Arabidopsis thaliana: one gene and its partners. The protein of the gene in region 1 interacts with the protein of each later gene in a pairwise test. Each region holds a gene or a part of one and is shown in the gene's direction. Other genes may lie near its edges.

The links.
Region 2: the proteins of RABA2c (region 1) and AT5G10290 interact in a protein complementation assay, tested with the Arabidopsis thaliana proteins (one large-scale study listed by BioGRID).
Region 3: the proteins of RABA2c (region 1) and CHX27 interact in a protein complementation assay, tested with the Arabidopsis thaliana proteins (one large-scale study listed by BioGRID).
Region 4: the proteins of RABA2c (region 1) and GPT2 interact in a protein complementation assay, tested with the Arabidopsis thaliana proteins (one large-scale study listed by BioGRID).

The regions. Positions count from the first base shown.
Region 1 is NC_003074.8:17,245,724-17,250,383, reverse strand, and holds RABA2c (RAB GTPase homolog A2C), read left to right. Parts: upstream 1-1,560; 5' UTR 1,561-1,866; intron 1,867-1,988; 5' UTR 1,989-2,021; coding exon 2,022-2,186; intron 2,187-3,196; coding exon 3,197-3,685; 3' UTR 3,686-4,156; downstream 4,157-4,660. UniProt on the Arabidopsis thaliana protein: Intracellular vesicle trafficking and protein transport.
Region 2 is NC_003076.8:3,234,707-3,240,620, reverse strand, and holds AT5G10290 (leucine-rich repeat transmembrane protein kinase family protein), read left to right. Parts: upstream 1-1,812; 5' UTR 1,813-2,070; intron 2,071-2,222; exon of another isoform or gene 2,223-2,421; 5' UTR 2,422-2,449; coding exon 2,450-2,540; intron 2,541-2,666; coding exon 2,667-2,799; intron 2,800-2,879; coding exon 2,880-2,951; intron 2,952-3,045; coding exon 3,046-3,189; intron 3,190-3,301; coding exon 3,302-3,373; intron 3,374-3,459; coding exon 3,460-3,525; intron 3,526-3,604; coding exon 3,605-3,675; intron 3,676-3,774; coding exon 3,775-3,915; intron 3,916-4,017; coding exon 4,018-4,754; intron 4,755-4,844; coding exon 4,845-5,159; 3' UTR 5,160-5,363; downstream 5,364-5,914. Other genes in the region: MES5 (methyl esterase 5), read right to left, coding at 1-178, 330-461, 575-937.
Region 3 is NC_003076.8:255,548-260,997, forward strand, and holds CHX27 (cation/H+ exchanger 27), read left to right. Parts: upstream 1-1,758; 5' UTR 1,759-1,862; coding exon 1,863-2,081; intron 2,082-2,221; coding exon 2,222-2,734; intron 2,735-2,968; coding exon 2,969-3,466; intron 3,467-3,548; coding exon 3,549-4,406; intron 4,407-4,582; coding exon 4,583-4,798; 3' UTR 4,799-4,943; downstream 4,944-5,450. Other genes in the region: CHX26 (cation/H+ exchanger 26), read right to left, coding at 1-750, 881-1,093; AT5G01700 (Protein phosphatase 2C family protein), read right to left, coding at 5,301-5,450. UniProt on the Arabidopsis thaliana protein: May operate as a cation/H(+) antiporter.
Region 4 is NC_003070.9:22,822,628-22,827,295, forward strand, and holds GPT2 (glucose-6-phosphate/phosphate translocator 2), read left to right. Parts: upstream 1-1,786; 5' UTR 1,787-1,899; coding exon 1,900-2,391; intron 2,392-2,781; coding exon 2,782-3,007; intron 3,008-3,099; coding exon 3,100-3,322; intron 3,323-3,486; coding exon 3,487-3,778; 3' UTR 3,779-3,820; coding exon of another isoform or gene 3,821-3,832; 3' UTR 3,833-4,156; downstream 4,157-4,668. UniProt on the Arabidopsis thaliana protein: Glucose 6-phosphate (Glc6P) transporter. Also transports inorganic phosphate, 3-phosphoglycerate, triose phosphates and, to a leser extent, phosphoenolpyruvate.

The DNA.
Region 1 (4,660 bases):
AGAACTGTATCAAATATTATCCTTAAAATATGACCACTTGTGAAAACTCTATGTGCATATTCACATTTATAGATTTAATTTAGATATTGTGACTAAATGTACTCTTAATAGTTAGGGTGAATTATCCAATAGAAAGCAAATATAGTATACAAATAGATGTATGCAATTGTATGTATCGGCTCCTCTTTCGTCCACGCGATTGCCTTCTTTTGTGCTGTATTCGTTTAAAATCAATAGCAACGTACAATTGCGTCAAGACTAATCAGCAAGAATTGCGTCAGGATTATTCATAACCTAAAGTAATAAATGTTTAAATAGGTCAAATATATACTTTTTGAAAATACGTTACGGGAGTACATAACACCATATATTCTAGCGCATGTAATTTCTGAGTCGAAAAGTTGGAGAGTTGCCCAAGAACTAGAACATGACATTGATGCGGAGGAAGAACCTGAAGTAGTTGAAGCTTGTGAGTATGCGCACGTTCAAAGAGGAGAAGCTATGTGCCAAATTGACGCTTCGTGGACTGGTATTAACCAGAATGTTAGTTTGGGGTTCATGTTGACTAGCTCAACGACCAAGCTGTTTGGTCAAAGTAGCCAGAATTGTTATCGCAATGCCCTCTACGCAGAACTCGGAGCTCTTCTTTGGACAATGGAGTGCACTTTACAACAAAGTATCCAATCTATACATTTTGAAACCGATTGCTTAAGCTTACTTAAGATCCTTGATGAAAGTAAAGATTGGCCGGTGGAAAAGATTTTGCTAGATTTAAAGCTAGTTTTGGTCGGTTTTCTTTATCTCATATTCCACGCACTATGAATGTCCGTGTTGTCTGCCTCGCAAAGAGTGCAAGAGTACGAGGTGTACTTTTTTCCCATATAAACCCTCTCGTTTCGGAGTAGTTGGCCCACGAAACTAACTTTTTCGAACAAATTTAATTATTTGATGTTTTTGCGATAAAAAAAAACAAAAAAAAAACTTGGTTTATTAGAGGGCACAAAATCAAATTTATAACAAAATGAAGTTATTACGTTAGGTTGAAAAAAAGTATGACGTTTCAGGGATTAATAATTTAGCGTTAATGACTTAATGGTCCTCATCTTCATCAGATTAGAATGTAACATTCTATATGTGTCGCACCAAAAGACTAGTCTCGTCCTCTATAGCTATTAGCCTATTACCATCGCAATCTCCGACGTATTTTCCACTAGACTTGTAGCATGTTGCCTTCTAAAGCCGCCACATGATCCACTACCATCTTCATTTGCCCATCGGCCATCGCCACCAGAACCACCACATTGTTTAATTATATTATATGGATCAGAACTATATTCTTACAAATATTATGGGAAGTTGGGAATGTAGTGGTCAATTCATCACATCCTCATTTCATTATTTTCTTCTTCTATTAAAGTTGTTAATTCGACATTTTCAAATTGACGTTGCTTATTATCATTACCACACTCACAAATACAATCATTGCTCTTTAACGCAATTATAAAGCTCAAAACTACATTTCCAATAATACCCCTTGGAACATGCTCTTACTTTTTGCCAGCCTGCTAACGAATCATTAGTTGCCACATCAGCACGATAACTGAAGTCTTTGTCTTTTTCTCAAACGCGACGTCGTTTCTATTCCCTGACACAGAGATACGTATAGATACACCGTATATTCACTTTATTGCTCCTCTCCTCTTTCTCACGAAGAAGAAGACGAAGCCCATCAAATTAAACAAGAAAAATTCCATTTTCCTCCATTGATTGTGAGTGAGAACAAACATTTAAAGCTTCTTACTCAAAGTTTCTTTCTTTATAGATCTCAAAAAATTCGATATTTTTCTCGATTCATCCGCCATTAAGGTACACGAATCGTTTTTCGTCTTCTGAATTACTTGTGGGTTCGTCTTAATTTCGTTGGATCTGGGTTTGATTTTGGAGAAAAGTAATAAAGTTTCTGTCTTTTTTTTCTTTCGAATTTGTAGGTTTTATTGCGAGATCGAAGAGAGAAGGAGAAAATGACGCATAGAGTAGATCAGGAATATGATTATTTGTTTAAGATTGTGTTGATTGGTGATTCTGGTGTTGGGAAATCGAATATCTTGTCGAGATTCACCAGGAATGAGTTTTGCTTGGAATCTAAATCCACTATTGGTGTTGAATTCGCCACCAGAACTACTCAGGTGAGATTCGAATTTTTCTCTGTTTCTCTCTTTAAGTACTTTAGGAGTGAAATTCAGAATATTTGCTGTTAGAATCAGAGTAATACGAAGAGATAGTAATTTAGGTTTGGTATATAATGTTAAGAGGCTTAAAGATGGGATTTTGGGATAGGTTTTTTCTTCTTATTAGCTTGTCTCTGTTTTGATTTATCTTTAGCTATAATCCGTGAAGGTTTTTACTTTCACTGCTATACATAGATTTACCGTCTTCAGTTATGTATTTTGGTTTTGCTTGTAGCTTCATGACCACATTAGTGTAGTGTATATTTCAATTATGTAATTTGGTTTTGCTTGTAGCTTCATGACCTCATTAGTGTAGTGTAGAATTCAGGTATTCGATGGTTAATTTCAAGTGATGGCTCTAGAGCTTTTAGTCTGTTTTGTTTCGTTTAAAGTTGCTTCTTCGTTAGTTTCTTTGATTTGGATAGCAATTAAGTGATAGGTCTTAAGGTTTTTGGTTGCGTTGGTTTCTTAAGATTGAAGAATACAGTGTTTTGAGAGAGTAGACGGCGGATTTTTTCTCAGCTACTGAATCTTTTGTTCAAGAGAAAAAATCTTAGTTGTGCTGGCTATGAGTTATGACAGATGCTTTTCTCATTTTAAGACTATAAATGGATGGTCGTGAAGGCCAATTAAAAAAAATAAGAAGATTCTCACAGCTTGTCTCAATAATTCATTCTATTTCCTGATCATTTGTCATGCTTGACCTTGTCCACCTTTATACTTTCGTAAAGTCAACCGATAAATTTTTTGACAAGAGGAATTCTATGATACACTTATGTAGTTGAATGCGGAAAGATGCATTTAAAATGTTGATTGTTAATAATGTTACTAACCTGGTTTTAACAACTGAGAAGATATATGTTCTTTACTTTTGATTGTTGAATTAGCATTCTTATTCATAAACCTGGGAATGCTTCAATACCTAAGATCTAACTGGTTGTTACGGTGAATCTCTCATGCATACACAGGTTGAAGGAAAGACCATTAAGGCCCAGATCTGGGACACTGCAGGTCAGGAGAGGTACAGGGCGATCACAAGCGCGTATTACAGAGGCGCAGTGGGTGCACTTCTTGTCTACGACATTACTAAGAGACAGACCTTTGACAATGTTTTAAGGTGGCTGCGCGAACTGAGAGACCATGCAGATTCCAACATTGTGATCATGATGGCTGGGAACAAATCCGATCTGAACCACTTGAGATCCGTTGCTGAGGAAGATGGTCAAAGTTTGGCTGAGAAGGAAGGTCTCTCTTTCCTGGAGACATCTGCTCTTGAAGCAACAAACGTCGAGAAAGCGTTTCAGACCATCTTAGGTGAGATCTACCATATCATAAGCAAAAAGGCACTGGCTGCACAAGAAGCAGCAGCAGCTAATTCTGCAATCCCTGGGCAAGGAACTACGATTAACGTCGATGACACATCTGGAGGCGCGAAACGAGCATGTTGCTCTTCTTAAACTAAAGGTAAACTGTTTATTTCGGTTGCTCCTTGTTCAGAGATTCAAACTTTTGTTTTCACTGGCTTCTCTTCTTTTCAAGTTTTGGCTGATGAAACGTAACTATGCAAGACTATGTAGAATACTCTGTTTTTATTCTCTTCGGTTTGGGGTTTGTGTTCAGTTTAAAGCTTGTTAGTAGTATACTTAGAATCTTCTGGTGCTTGCTTGCTTTCCCTTCTTCTTCCCTTGGTGTGTTTCTATTGATTTCTGGTTTATAAAGTATTTTTTCTATCTCCGGTTTAGTCCGGTTCGTCTTGGCTTTGTTTAATCAAATCATTGATTCCTCTCTTATCAATGTATTGTATCCGGTTCCAAAATCCTCTCTTCATGTTACACACTGACAAGCTTCTACCAAAGAAAATAAATTTTAGTATTACGAAAGAAAAAATTGTTGACAAACTAATTTTGCTCCATCTATTATCACAAATAAAAATGCAATTGAACTGCAGTTACTATCAAATAATGGCTATGGTTTTTTATTTTGTTTTGAACCGACCAAATTAAAAGATGTTTTGAATTAATGGTATTATTTTCAAGTAAAATAGAGGAAAGTGACGACGATACATGGAGACAGAAAAGGAGTGATTGAGAAACCGATAACAAAAACGTCATTGTAGCCCAACTTGCAAAAACTAACCAATTGCATGCATGAAAGAGTTTATAATAAATCATGGAATTTTACATTGTCAACGTGTGAGGTTTTTCTTTTTGGACACAACCCAAAAGGCCTTTTAGTTCTAAATTGTTTCATATTAGAAAATTCTAAGTTCGGAAATGCTATACATGAAAATTCTTGGTGATTTCTAATGAGCAAAATAACATGAAAATTCTTGGTGATCCATTATATATATTTATGCGCCGAGAAACCATTCAGAGAAACAATAAGGAAGATAGTAAAACCTCATCTTTCTAATCGATAACTTCCATATCCTT
Region 2 (5,914 bases), on another chromosome or scaffold:
CGTTGAAATTATCAATCATCCAACGAATGAAATCGCAGGGGATGGCTTTGTCTTCACTACTCATTACGTAAACTCGTTGCACCGAACCATATCCTTCCTCGCTAAACTTTTCTTTCTTTGATAGATCCTCTGTGAAAAATGACCCTTGCCTATGCAACATTTTTGCCAGCTCGTAATCCTTCACAGTGTAACCATCATGTAACCACACACCAAAACTAATTAATAATCATCTCATACGATGATTCATATTCGAAAACTTTAGCACATAGTTTGAATATAGATTTTGTTGTTTTGGCGTAACAAATTTTAGAGATTTGTGGGAACAATACCTCTATGGGACAATTTTGGTAAAGACGTGCCTTCATGAATTTTGGTCCCATCTTCAATAAACTCATCGTCCCATTTCTTGTTTCATGAGATGAAAACTCACAATCTCCCAAACCTCCAGGCATCTCCATATACTTTATTATTATCATCAACCAAACCAAGAATTATTTTCATGGTATTAAGATAAGTTGGTCAAATTATAAAAAACTACTAGTATCAAAATTATTTTTGTTATTTTATTGTTAACCTTGTCCAGAACGTGAGAAGGCACGTGGGTTGTGTCGGGCAAGAAGGCGTTGAGGAACACAAGAACCTTAATCTTCGCCGGAAATATGTCGGCGGCGAGAGCGATGTTGATGCCTCCGAAGCTGAATCCAACCAGAATTACCTCTTCGTTCTCTGGAAGAGATTTGAGGGTTTCGATCAACGGTTTGGAGTATTCGTCGACGGTTTCAACGGCCTGGATTGGTCGTGGGTCGATCCCGGAGGCGGCGAGTTCGACAGCAGTAACGCGGTGGCCGGCTGATTCAAGGAGGGGCTTGAGCTTGTACCAGATCCAGGCTCCATGATAAGCGTTGTGAACTAACACGAAGTGATGTTTCCTCTCCATATGTCTCCGTAGACGTTTTCTTTTTGGTTAAGGTTCTTTGCTTGTTTGAGAATAGCGTGATAAAGTTGGGATATGAGTATGACGTTATTATTATATAGTGATAGTGGGATAAGGTTCATATACGTTACGCTGTTAATAACTTCTTATGTTATGACACATGTTCAGATTTACTAGTCTCCTCGGTCGGCTGTTGTATACTTTTGTATACTTGTATTTAGATATATTTTAAATAAATAAAGCAGAATTCTGTAATCACACTTAGCTAAATTACATTAATTTTTTTGGACATTTAAAAAAATATATGAGTACATCACAGTTTCAATCTAATAACGGACCAACACATGTAAGATTTTGACATCCGCGATTAGATGGACGTAAAAAAGGCTTAATTAACGGAACTAATTGAACACGATAAACACGTGCCTGTTAAGTGTTAACCGACCTAATCTTCATATTGATCTGAGAATCTTCACAGCTTCCCTTCCTTCTTTGAGTCTAGCCGGCCCATGGGCCGTGAAACACTGTGACTGTGACTCTCTTTTATTGACTCATTTTAACCTTTTCCTTTTGCCTTTTGGTACCAATTTTTAACTTTTCCTTTGTACAGGGAGATTCGCTTCCTTTTTTTAGGCTGGCCATTTCGTCTTAGTGAGTGGTGTATAGTTGGCCATTTCAGTCAGCTGTATTATAGCCTCATTGTCAATGATGTCGAAAATCATTCCTCAATTTACACAATGGTTGTCAGGTAAAAAACAACGAGAGTTGATAAGTAGATTTAGGAGGGAAAAAAGAAAAAGACAATTTAGTTAGTCTTCTTTTACATCCACGTAATTAAATAGCACATCGTTCCAAACATCATTATCAAAGTTCATTAGTTATTTAGGGAAATTACAAGTTGCACGGAGAAAAAGCAGTTCGTGGACCAACATTGGACTTTTCTTTCAGACAAAGGCCATTAGCGAGCGAGAGTGATAATTGCGAAATTGCCAAAAAACGCAAAGTCTACCACTAGACAAGAAAATCGAAGCTTTTCACTTTCTCTTTTTTCTGTTTTGTTGTCTTTGGTTCTACTCTCCGCACTGAATCTTTCGATCAGCGATAATTGTTTCCTTCTTTTGGGATTTTCTCCTTGGGTACGAGGTTCTTTCCTTCTTTTATTTGCTCTGTTTTTGAGATTTGGAATTGTTATCAAGTCTGACAAAATTGGTCACTAATCTTTCTGGGAAATTGAGCATGTTCGTGTTCTTGCATCCGTTTGACTCTTTTTCTATGCAAAGTCTCAACCTTTCAATAGTGGAATTTATTCTTATCCCTAATTTCTCTTTACCAGACCTATTTTTAGCTAAGTTTGGTTGAATTTAGAAAGTCTTTGATTCATAGTTGAAGAGATTCTCTCCATTAATCTTTCTCTGTAATGTGTCAGATCCACTAAAAGTAAGTAAGAAAAAGATTTTGTTGTAATGTTATTAAATGTGTCTTTGTAGATGGAACCAGCTCAATTAATGAGATGAGATGAGAATGTTCAGCTTGCAGAAGATGGCTATGGCTTTTACTCTCTTGTTTTTTGCCTGTTTATGCTCATTTGTGTCTCCAGATGCTCAAGGTGATGCCTTTTCTTACTTTTCAACTGCTATTTTGTTGCTCTCATTTCTTGTTTCGTTTCTGGTAATTTCTGAGCTTGTTCAGGTTGAAGATTTAACTCTATGATTCTTTGCTTTTCCATTTTCAGGGGATGCACTGTTTGCGTTGAGGATCTCCTTACGTGCATTACCGAATCAGCTAAGTGACTGGAATCAGAACCAAGTTAATCCTTGCACTTGGTCCCAAGTTATTTGTGATGACAAAAACTTTGTCACTTCTCTGTAAGTTTAATGACAACTCTGAATTAGTCAATGTTGTTTCCATGTGAGAAGATTTATATTCATGTCATTTGTGATTGCAGTACATTGTCAGATATGAACTTCTCGGGAACCTTGTCTTCAAGAGTAGGAATCCTAGAAAATCTCAAGACTCTGTAAGTGCTTTAGATTGAGTCTCTCTTTTTGTCTGAAATCCTAGAACATAGATATTAGGTTGTGAGCATTTCGCTACCTTCTTTTTATATATAGTACTTTAAAGGGAAATGGAATTACGGGTGAAATACCAGAAGACTTTGGAAATCTGACTAGCTTGACTAGTTTGGATTTGGAGGACAATCAGCTAACTGGTCGTATACCATCCACTATCGGTAATCTCAAGAAACTTCAGTTCTTGTAAGTAGTTCCGCCTCACAATGCTGTTAAATCTTGCACATGTTTTAAAACATTTTTAAGACGTAGAAAAGGATTACTCATGTCTTTATTCACTTGTGTGTTGGCTAAACAGGACCTTGAGTAGGAACAAACTTAATGGGACTATTCCGGAGTCACTCACTGGTCTTCCAAACCTGTTAAACCTGTGAGTTACTGTTCTTTGTGTTTATGCTTACCATCTTTCTGGAAGCATCCTTGTCTTAATTCCATTGTTTGAAACTATGTTTACAGGCTGCTTGATTCCAATAGTCTCAGTGGTCAGATTCCTCAAAGTCTGTTTGAGATCCCAAAATATAAGTATGTTTGACTACTTCAAGTTTAATCTAGCATGCTCATTTCTTTAGCAGTAATTTGATCTGTTTCTAATCGACTATAGTTTCACGTCAAACAACTTGAATTGTGGCGGTCGTCAACCTCACCCTTGTGTATCCGCGGTTGCCCATTCAGGTAAACTACTTCACTTTGCGATTGCTCTGACCGCATTTTCTTTATTTTCAACCATTTCAAAAGTATGAAAGACTGAAAACATCTAATCTGCGGTGATAGGTGATTCAAGCAAGCCTAAAACTGGCATTATTGCTGGAGTTGTTGCTGGAGTTACAGTTGTTCTCTTTGGAATCTTGTTGTTTCTGTTCTGCAAGGATAGGCATAAAGGATATAGACGTGATGTGTTTGTGGATGTTGCAGGTCTGTAATATACCCTACAGGGAAACCTTTCTTTCGTATTTCGTATTTCGGTATGTTATGATGTATTGATATGCAGATTTGTGGAACTTTACTATTTTTCAGGTGAAGTGGACAGGAGAATTGCATTTGGACAGTTGAAAAGGTTTGCATGGAGAGAGCTCCAGTTAGCGACAGATAACTTCAGCGAAAAGAATGTACTTGGTCAAGGAGGCTTTGGGAAAGTTTACAAAGGAGTGCTTCCGGATAACACCAAAGTTGCTGTGAAGAGATTGACGGATTTCGAAAGTCCTGGTGGAGATGCTGCTTTCCAAAGGGAAGTAGAGATGATAAGTGTAGCTGTTCATAGGAATCTACTCCGTCTTATCGGGTTCTGCACCACACAAACAGAACGCCTTTTGGTTTATCCCTTCATGCAGAATCTAAGTCTTGCACATCGTCTGAGAGAGATCAAAGCAGGCGACCCGGTTCTAGATTGGGAGACGAGGAAACGGATTGCCTTAGGAGCAGCGCGTGGTTTTGAGTATCTTCATGAACATTGCAATCCGAAGATCATACATCGTGATGTGAAAGCAGCTAATGTGTTACTAGATGAAGATTTTGAAGCAGTGGTTGGTGATTTTGGTTTAGCCAAGCTAGTAGATGTTAGAAGGACTAATGTGACTACTCAAGTTCGAGGAACAATGGGTCACATTGCACCAGAATATTTATCAACAGGGAAATCATCAGAGAGAACCGATGTTTTCGGGTATGGAATTATGCTTCTTGAGCTTGTTACAGGACAACGCGCAATAGACTTTTCACGTTTGGAGGAAGAAGATGATGTCTTGTTACTTGACCACGTATGTATAATCAAATAATCCTACCTCGAAGTAGCTTCTCTCAAGCTTTATTGACCGTAATCTTTTGGATCTTTTTTTTGTTTTGGACAGGTGAAGAAACTGGAAAGAGAGAAGAGATTAGGAGCAATCGTAGATAAGAATTTGGATGGAGAGTATATAAAAGAAGAAGTAGAGATGATGATACAAGTGGCTTTGCTTTGTACACAAGGTTCACCAGAAGACCGACCAGTGATGTCTGAAGTTGTGAGGATGTTAGAAGGAGAAGGGCTTGCGGAGAGATGGGAAGAGTGGCAAAACGTGGAAGTCACGAGACGTCATGAGTTTGAACGGTTGCAGAGGAGATTTGATTGGGGTGAAGATTCTATGCATAACCAAGATGCCATTGAATTATCTGGTGGAAGATGACCAAAAACATCAAACCTTGAGTTTACTGTAAAGTTGCCAACTTCACTTTTTTGTTTTGTTCTTCGGTGAAGAAGTAAAATCAGTTGTATAAATCTTGTTTTTGTTTCATGATGTATCTTTTGACTTTAATAAATTCTGTGAATGAAAAGAACTATGATGTTTTGTTGACTTTTTTCGTTGACCGCAAGAAACCTTTTTGTCGTCTTATACTGTCAGGCCTATTACAAAGTTGTCGTTTATATGGGCCTAATATGGGCTTTTAAATACATGTTTTCTGTCCCAAGTTGTCCTAGTTTTGCCAACTCAATTTATGATTTTTTTTTTTAATTATATCACAAAATAAAGATTTCTGTATTCTCTGACATGAAAATTAATATTTATTATTGAAAAATCGTTGTTTTCATATTTGAATAGAAAACAAGAAGAACAAAAAATTAACATATTTTTAATCATCTCTAAATTGTGTTAGATACAATAGCAATGTATTTTAAAGATTTTTATGTTCATGATCGAAAATATCCAAAAATATTTAAGATTGAAGAATGGATAATAATATACATTATCCATTGACAAAAAAAATCTATACATCATTATCATTTGGATACGGATGAAGTAAATTCCCTAATTGCACAAGATCTTTACAAGCCTCGATTATGTGTCAATTCAACATTATAACAAAATTAATAATAATAAAATAGATTCAATGAGTGATTTTTCTATAAAACCTAATGAGAGATCACTTTATCTGACATCAC
Region 3 (5,450 bases), on another chromosome or scaffold:
GATCTTGTCAGTGAGACCAGTACCGAAAGGAGGCGTCTTAGGAGTGACAAGACCGAGAGCCACGGATCCGACTACGTAAGGAAACCCTACAGTTTCAGACAGGAAAGTGGCGGTGCACAACATGACGCAAATGGTGCATAGATGGGAAGCCTTGAGTTTCTTTCCTTCAGGGGTTCTCTTCACTATCCAGTTGAATATTGGTCGGCACACAACTACTATACCAACCAGCAGTAGTACCTTTGTGAAGGTAGGCAGATAAGTGGTCTTGGAGTAATTTTGATGCAAGAAACTGTCAAAGGTAATCAAAAGGAGGAAAAAACCCCAGCCGAAGCAGTTAGCCACCATTATGGAGGAGAGGGCTAACCTTCCGGGCTCCGAGTTCAGCATCTTGAGATTCGACAAAACCGAATACGCCACTTGAAAATACACTACGGATTGGTTTGTTAGTAAATTGTGGAGCTGCTCGGGATTATTTTTCGCCACGGTTCCACGGATGTTGCTCGTGATTACTGTACATGCTATGGCGCCCACCACGTAAGGAAACAGAAAAAGAGATAATCCATTGATGATTGCTAGCTTGCCTCCTCGCTTTATAACTCCCATGTCCACTTGAGCCGTGCTTATGTATGAGATGAACATGAAGGATATTGCCTCAAATGATTCTATTATGAAATAGCTTCTTGTGTTGAATAATTTTTTTACTAAATCAATGTTTTGTCCCAAAGCCGAGGGTCCTAAGAATATCCCAGCCTGTTTCATATATACCAACAAAATATCACACTTCTATAGTTTAAACCTTTTTTTCTTTGCGGGAAATATAGAGAGATCCAAAATTTATTAAAAAAAACGTAGAAAATGGTATGATAAAGTGATTACATACCAGAATTTGAGTGACGAAGTCGACATTTGCGAGAGGGCGGAGAAGAGCTTGGAAGACGGAAGAGAGAGAAGAGACGAGAGAAATGAGAAGAAGAAGAAGAGGAGTTGAATATTTCAATGGATCATCTCCTCTAAGTAATCCGCCAGAGCTTGATCCCAACCATGCCTCGCATACAAATTCATGTGTGCCATTACTTGTAACACTATTGTTCATCTTGTTTCTCTTTGGGAATATTTTTTCTTCTTAAAACTAGTATTCACGTTCTTCTTTATAACCATTTTTGTTTGTGTTTTTGAATTCAGCATAACGCTAACTAATTGAGCAAACAGATCAAGCTTGTTGAGCTGGGGAAGAAGATACATGTATCTTTTTTAAGATATTAAACAGTTTTTGTTGTTTTTTCAAGGATTTTGTGTTGACTTTATTATAACCGTCAGAGAAAAATAGGAAATTATATATGTCATATCTCACTTTGGCAGATGTATTTTTTGGTATTTTACACATTTTTTTTTTATTATAGTTTTATTTTTTTGTTGATCCTGATCTTTTTTAAATTAATACTTATAAGGAGTATTACTAGGTTGATTATTAATTAATCTTTTTTTGTTAGGGATCTAACTTCATGGATTTAGTAGCTAGGTTGGTTATTATAACATCAACATGCAAAATATATATTACAAACACACATGTTTGTGCAATCAATCTCAGGCTATAATGATGATCATCTGACCATGCTCAAGATTTTTGTACCACACAGAAAACATATATAGAAAACCTTAAAAGTAGGATGACCTCTAAAGAGAAATAAAGAACAAGAGGATAAACAACATGTACAATTAAACCCCTAAATATAGCTAGAGAGAGCAGAAACAAAAAAAAGAAGAGAATAATTAATACTTTCTTCTTTTCTTCAACTCACAACACAATCTCTCTCTTTCCCTCTATGGCTTGACTCTTTAGGGGAAATACCTAGCAGGAGGGAATGGAAAATATAACCAAAACTTTTCAGTACGGAGGAGTTGATTGGCTTTGCGAGCCATGGGTAGGTGCAGGCTCTTTGGGGATTGGCCGGGGAGAGAATCCGCTCAAGTTTGCTCTTCCTCTTCTTCTCCTTCAGATTTCTGTCTTTTCCATATTTTCCGTATCTTTTCAGTTTCTTCTTCGGCCTTTTGGAAAATTTGCATTCCTCACTCAGATGCTGGTATACGTTTCCATATCTAAGCATCTATAATTGGAAGCTTTCTAGTGGAAAAATATGGACTAGTCGTCTCAAAAACATGTATAGCCATGCCCATAATGGTGTAAATGTGACTTAATATTTAATAGTGAATTTGTTTGCAGGCTGGGATCTGCTTAGGACCGTCCGTTATAGGACGTAACAAACAGTACATGGCTACATTCTTCTACGCGAGAAGCGTGTACATAATCGAATCCTTCGAGGCCATATGTTTTCTCTTCATTTGCTACATCACAACATGTCAAGTAGACACTAGGATGATAAAGAGAGTAGGCAAGTTAGCATTCATAAACGGCATCTTACTTTTCCTCATACCTTTCGTATGGGGCCAATTCGCGGCCATCTTGATCTCCAAGAGGCTCAAAAGCGGGCCTGCGGGGATCCCTCCCGTGGAGTTCCACCATGTAGCGATCGTCCAGTCCACAATGTTTTTTCAGGTGGTTTACGGAGTCTTGTCGAGCCTAAAGATGTTGAACACTGAGCCAGGGAGGTTAGCACTTGCATCCATGATGGTGCATGACTGCCTCTCTTGGTGTTTTTTCATGCTTAACATCGCCATTAAACTTAATGTTGACTTACCCAATAAAAATCGCGCTGCTTTCTTGTCCGTCTTACAGGTACCCAAGTTGATAAATAATTTCTTAATTAATCTACAAATTTTGCTTTGGAACATCTTCCAATTTTCTTACTATAAAAACATAATTGACTGTGTAAATTCCTACAAAAATAGACAAACTAACTAAGATCCTAATAAAATGCATGAATCCAATAATATTTACGTATAGTATAAACTTGCTTTGATCTATATATACGCTTTTTTATTAATGATATAAAGACGGAAATGAATGCAGATGATAATGATATTGGTGATAGCATATGTGTTCCGACCACTAATGCTGTGGATGAAGAATCGAACACCAGAAGGACACTCTCTCAAGGCCTCCTATCTCTCTGTTATATGCGTCTTGCTCTTCATCTCCTGCCTCTGGGCAGAATTTGTGGGTTTACCTTACTTCTTTGGTGCGGTCGTCTTAGGTCTAGCCACCCCAAAACGTCCGCCTCTAGGCACGGGACTGTCAGACAAAATCGGTTGTTTTGTTTGGTCTGTCCTGATGCCTTGCTACGTCATTGGGATTGGCCTCAATATCGATCTCTCACTGTTTTCCTGGAGAGATGTTATCCGGTTTGAGCTACTTTTTGGGGTGGTCAGGTTTGCCAAAATGATAGCCATTGCCTTGCCTTCCCTTTACTATAAAGTGCCTCTTTGGCACGCCATTCTTGTCGGGTTTATCGTCAATATACAAGGACTTTACGACGTTCAAATATACAAACAGAATTTCAATTACACGGTAACAATAATTCATTTAGGATATACTTTGGAACATATATAATTTTAGGTCAATAACAATCAATAATGGTCAATGGGTGCAGAAAATATCAAGCAAATCTTTTGGAGCAATGGTGATGTCAGCAACGGTAAACTCGACAATTTTCATAGTGATAGTGAAGAAACTGTACCAAACCATGAGCAAACGCAACCCTTACAAGAGACGTACGGTGCAACACTGCCGAGTGGAGGCTCCCCTAAGGATCCTCACTTGTTTCCGGAACCGTGAGGCGGTCCGCCCGGTGCTTGACCTCGTCGAACTCTCTCGTCCAGCCATCGGGTCTCCTCTCTCAGTCTTCGCGGTGAATCTAGAAGAGCTTAATAACCATAGTCTTCCCCTCCTTATCCATCACACGCAAGAGATTAGTCCCTTCCTCGTGCCTAGCCGAAGGGACCAGATCGTTAAGGCCTTCCACAACTTCGAGAAGACTAATCAGGAGACCGTGTTGATAGAGTGCTTCACGGCAGTGGCACCGCGAAAGACGATGCACGAGGACGTGTGTGCGATTGCCTTTGACCAGGAAACAGATATTGTGATCCTAACTCTTGATGCCGGGATCGAGTTATGGGAGAGGCTCCTGTGTCGTAATCTCCTGCACAACTGTCCCTGCTCTGTTGCGCTTTTCATAGACAGAGGAAGGCTCCCAGATTTCAGGTTCGTTCCACTGAAAAAGCTTACCATCAATATTGGTGCTATCTTCTTAGGAGGACCAGATGACCGTGAAATGCTTGCGTATGCAACACGCTTAGCCAGCCATCCAAGCGTCGAGCTCCAAGTCTTCCGGCTCGTGGACCAGAACGGCGTCTCTCCGCTCAGAGACATGGTCGAGAGGAATCACGACATGAGAGTCATCAACGTCTTCCGCAAAGAAAATTCCGAGAAAAACATCATCTTCAGAGAGGTAATGAGAACTATTTTGCCTTGGCTTGGAAGCTATCTTATTTCCCCTTAGACGAAACCTTCTCTATGCAACAGAGGTTTCTATTCGGTTTAGAAAGTTTCTTGTGTAGACGAAACAGAGGTTTTTCTTTATCTAACCTATCATAATGTGTTCCCCTGTTTCTAACATTCTTAAAGGTAAGAATAGAGGAAGCAGTGAATCTACTGGATCTACTAAGGAAGGAAGGGGACGACTTCGATCTGATGATGGTCGGGATAAGACACGAAGAAAATCTTTTGATGTTGGAAGGATTGTCAGAATGGAGCGATATGAAGGAGTTAGGAGAGGTTGGAGATGTGTTGATCTCCAAAGATCTCGAGCTCTCTGTTTCGGTTCTCGCCGTACAGCAATGAGATTGGTGACCGTTTATCTCGTTTTCGTTCCCCGAGTTTATGGATTTGTACAGCCTTTTGTAGAATATTGAATACAAATTTTTTTCTAAAAAAGTTCTACCATTCAAGAAGATATCTTGTTTACTTATATCTTTCAAATCATTCCAGAGCATGTGATCACCAATGAAATTTCAACAGAGATTAACAGATTGTTCAATCATTTGGTTTAGTTAAGTACTTACCATCTTTACTTTTTTTTTTGTAGCTGTTCAGGTTAATGCATTTGCTGCACAAAAAGAACTTATGAATCTTGAACAACTGTGAGGTTGAAATTTGGATTTGCGGAAAAGAAGACCAAGTCCATTAGTTTGTCTACTCTTTTTACTTTTTAATAGCTTCAAAAAACAAACAGAACACAAAATTATTTCACACACAAATAAAGTTGATGTTGAGTAATATCGACACCTCAACAGGTTCAAATTTTACTAAACAGTTAGAAACAACAACAGTAACAATTATCCTACTATGAAACCCTTTGGGATAGACCCAATGGTGACAATGGTGCGGCTCCATAACACTCGTTATTGCTCTTATTTGATCTCCAGGAAATAGTTGATATTGCTCGGCTCACGTTTCCTTCTCTTGGGTAAGGCCGGTGGTTTAGGTAAAGCAC
Region 4 (4,668 bases), on another chromosome or scaffold:
CCAATATTACGAACTTTCCTGAAATCTTTCCTAGCCGTCGAATATGAACCAAATTTATTACCTGACCTATAAACACACACATATGCAGGCAAATGGACACATGTGTTCTATGAATCAGTGTTGGTGAAGAGAGAGCTTGTCGTGTAATGAGAGTTGCATGTGTTCAACAACTTTGTGTATGTTTTGTAATTTTCCTCTTGTGATATTTTCTACGGTGAGAATTCCATTTGCAAGGTTACATCAATGGGTGAAGCCTGTACGTCCAACATGTGACCAGACCTTCTTTTATATCAACGGTCCAAATTAACATTACATTAACATACACAAATATATTATATATTTAATACTATTGTTCCTGTTCTTCTTTTTATTGTCGTTACCTCGTTAGCATCAATGACGAATGAAAATGACAAACGATACATTGTGTTGTTCGAATTCGTGTTATTGTTGCCAAAACGATGTGATAATAATGGAACTATGTTCATTGTATTGGCGTTGCCCGCTGGTTTACAACGATCTATTTCATCGATGAATTTTGGTAATTAACGATATAAAATTTTCAATACTAAAAGACACACCTTTTTCAACATTTCTTTTTATAACTTATGATGTTCCCATTCCATTATATTATAGCTCAACTTACAAACTAACTTGTCACATGTAAATTACTCATTGACTCGTGACAACTATTGACGGCAATATTATCAAACTCGTGGTTGGAAATATTTTAAGTCCACAAAGGAGGAGAAAATAAAATTCTTGAATATTGAAAATTCTTATACCTCTATGATATAAAAGAAAATAAAATCAAAGAGAAGTACCACAAAAACAAATTTTTAGTATTTAAAAATGCCATTACTTTGGAAAAGGTCCCAAAATATCACAAAATCTAGGCTTAGGAAGGGTCTCTAAACGTTTATTAAGAATTACTAAGCCCAAAACTTGAAAACTCCTAAAACTCTTTCTTCAAATTTAGACTAATCATTTTTAATTCTCTCCAAAATATTAGTAACCCTTGTAAAGCCTAAACATTTTAGTAAATTTTATGATTTTTGGTGGTAATTTTGGAAAATAAAGCATAAAATGTGGTATTCCGAGGACTGACCAAATTTCAAAAATTCAAATAAATGATTAATATCCTAAATCAATCATTATTTTTTATAATTGTTTTTGAGAAACTTATATTAATACTATTTTCAGGCATTTTCTTATAAATTACCCTATGGTTTTAGTAGGCAACAAAAAGATGAACGTCTCAGATTTTTTTGAATTCAATTTAATCTTAACAAAAGCGATAAATATCAAGAAGATAATTGGGTACGTGTATTGTGTACTATTTCAAAATTGATATTTGCTTCCATAACGTAACGTAACGTAAGACCCAAAGATTAACACTTGGTTTCTTCATGGTCGTAGATTATTAAAAGTTTATAACTAATGACGACAAAGTTTAAACGAAAAACAATATTTTCTCAATTTTCACTAGTTTTTTTTTTTTATTCCAGAAAATTATTAGTATACAACCAACTATTTTTACGATTATAAACTTTTATTTGATGATATTCATAATTTAGAAAAACCTTAAACGGATCTTAATGTCAATATCATCAGCTCATGCACCGCCTCTCGGATATGTTGACAAAATTACCCCATACAATATAAACCACCAAACCATAACCACAAAGGGTATATTCGTATATTATAAAAATATCTGAATAGTCGAACTTGTCGTTACACTCAAAAACGAAATCTTTCCCTCCTCTGTTCTCAATCTTTCTATAAATTCTCTTCTTCTTCTTCTTCCATTTTCCCAACAACACAAAGTCTCTCTCTCTCTGATAAAATCTTAAAACCCACCTCGAGATCATAGTCTTCATCAATTAGCCATAAAAAAGCACAATGCTTTCTTCAATCAAACCATCTTCGTCTTCCTTCTCCACCGCTATCTCCGGCAGCGTAAGGCGGTCAATTCCTACAAAGCTCAAGTTTTCTCCTTTACTCATCATCAAAAACTGCCATAACCAAAGCTTTAACGCTAATGTTGTCTCCCATCAAAAGCCTCTACACATTTCATCTGCTTCGAATTTCAAGCGTGAGGTCAAAGTCGAAGCTTACGAGGCCGATCGTTCCCGTCCACTGGACATCAACATCGAGCTTCCCGATGAACAATCCGCGCAGAAACTGAAAATCGGAATCTACTTCGCAACTTGGTGGGCACTTAACGTTGTCTTCAACATCTACAACAAGAAAGTCCTCAATGCTTTTCCTTACCCGTGGCTTACTTCGACGTTGTCTCTCGCTTGTGGTTCTTTGATGATGCTTGTCTCTTGGGCTACTAGAATCGCAGATGCTCCTAAAACTGATCTCGAGTTCTGGAAAACTCTGTTCCCGGTAAGTAATTAGGGTTTATTGTGTGTAGTTGTTGCCTCAAAAGTTTCAATCTTTTTTTTTTACGATTGAGAGCTCAGTTTCTGGAATACTCTGTTTTTCCGGTACGAATTCATGATTTATTCTGTTTTCTGGTAAAAAGTCATGATTTACTCTGTTTTACGGTAAGAATTTTAGATTCTCTGTTTTCATGTAAGTATTTTATATCTTCTCTGTTTTCATGTAAGAATTTAGTGTACTTTCGAGCATGAAACTGATCTTGAGATCTGTCTTCCGGTAATGGTTTAGGTATTTTCATGATGTTGTTGCTTGATGGATTTATAATTTTGTTTGTTGTCTGATAATGAAAGAGTGTGTTTTGATCGATGTTCCCGTTTTTTCTTATTCTTCAAGGTCGCTGTAGCACACACGATAGGACACGTTGCAGCAACAGTGAGTATGTCAAAAGTAGCAGTTTCCTTCACACACATCATTAAAAGTGGTGAACCAGCTTTCAGTGTCTTAGTCTCAAGATTCTTCATGGGAGAGACTTTCCCTCTTCCTGTCTATCTCTCTCTCTTACCAATCATCGGAGGCTGCGCTCTCGCGGCCATCACCGAGCTTAACTTCAACATCACTGGTAAAACTCACAATCCTAGAATATTGGTTTCACATGGTGACATTTCTTTGATTTATGGTCTTATGTGAAACTTTGTGGAATTTTTTTTGTAGGGTTTATGGGGGCAATGATATCGAATTTGGCATTTGTGTTCCGGAATATCTTTTCGAAGAAAGGGATGAAAGGGAAGTCAGTGAGCGGAATGAACTACTACGCTTGCTTATCGATGATGTCTCTTGTGATCCTCACTCCATTTTCTATTGCCGTGGAAGGTCCTCAAATGTGGGCTGCTGGTTGGCAAAATGCGGTTTCTCAAGTCGGACCAAACTTTGTCTGGTATGATCTAAAAACCAAATCAATAATCTTTAATTGTTTGTTAAGTTTTATAGACTCCAACTCAAATGACTATGAGTGGATTGGTATATATTGCTTTAGTTCCCTTCTAACTTAAGATATAAGATTCTAACTTAATGTGTTGTTTTTGTTTTTTGAATCAATAGGTGGGTAGTGGCACAAAGTGTGTTTTACCATTTGTACAATCAGGTCTCATACATGTCATTAGACCAGATTTCGCCGTTAACTTTCAGTATCGGTAATACGATGAAGCGGATTTCCGTTATTGTTGCATCGATCATCATTTTCCATACCCCGATTCAACCGGTTAATGCCCTCGGTGCTGCCATTGCGATTTTTGGAACTTTCCTCTACTCACAGGTAAACAAACAAACTTATTCTTGTTTACCTACCTCTAGTACTTGGTTCTTTAGTGAACAATTTCTAGTTCTAATATAATTCATTGACGTTCTTCCTATGTTCTTTGCAATCATTGAGCAGGCGAAGCAGTGAGGATGGTTTAGGAGGCAGTTTTTTGGGTTTGTTTTGCAAAAGAAAATGAAAACTAACAAAAGAGTAGCCGGGGAGGAGAGAACATTCCGGTGAGATCAACATCGGAAAATGCTTTTCCCCGGTCCATGGATATGAAGAAACTGGAGCTTGAAGTTGATAGAGTGTTTGCTTTTACTTTTTTTTTCATTGTCTCATAATAGATTCTGCACAAGACAGGCTAATTCTATATTATCTATGTTTTATTTAGATGATCGTAATAATAAAGATATCAGTGTCATTTCTTGATCAGACCATCTACTGAATTATTTTTGAGGTATCTATCAGTTGATGCATGTGTAATAGTTTCAGAAATCACTGAATTATAAATATATTGAGGTGTGTCGCTACTGGCCTATATACATATCATATTAGGCCATTAGGTTAAAAATTCTACTCAATCCATTCCTTATAATTGGTCTAGTTAGCTATATTGGTCTCTCACACACTCTCTTATTCCAAGAAGAACATTAGGAAACTCCAATATTGGGCCTGGTCCATGTACTCTTCTAAGTTCGTCTATACTTGGACACTGTCTCCATTTTGTGGGCTAGGGATCTACAATCCAATGACTGCAAAATATTTACGGCATGCAAAACTTCTTATGACAAGTGTGTTTGACACACGTCTCTAAAATTTCAATTATGTGGATGTGCTTATTTGTATCAATGCATTTCATGCTTGCTTGGCTTCGTATGGAAAAAGTATGAGCCATCATAAAAATTTGTTAAAAAAGATTCGAGTCATTTACATTGTTTTAGGAGCCTTTTTTGATCGGTTAGGGTGCTAGAGAACCCATT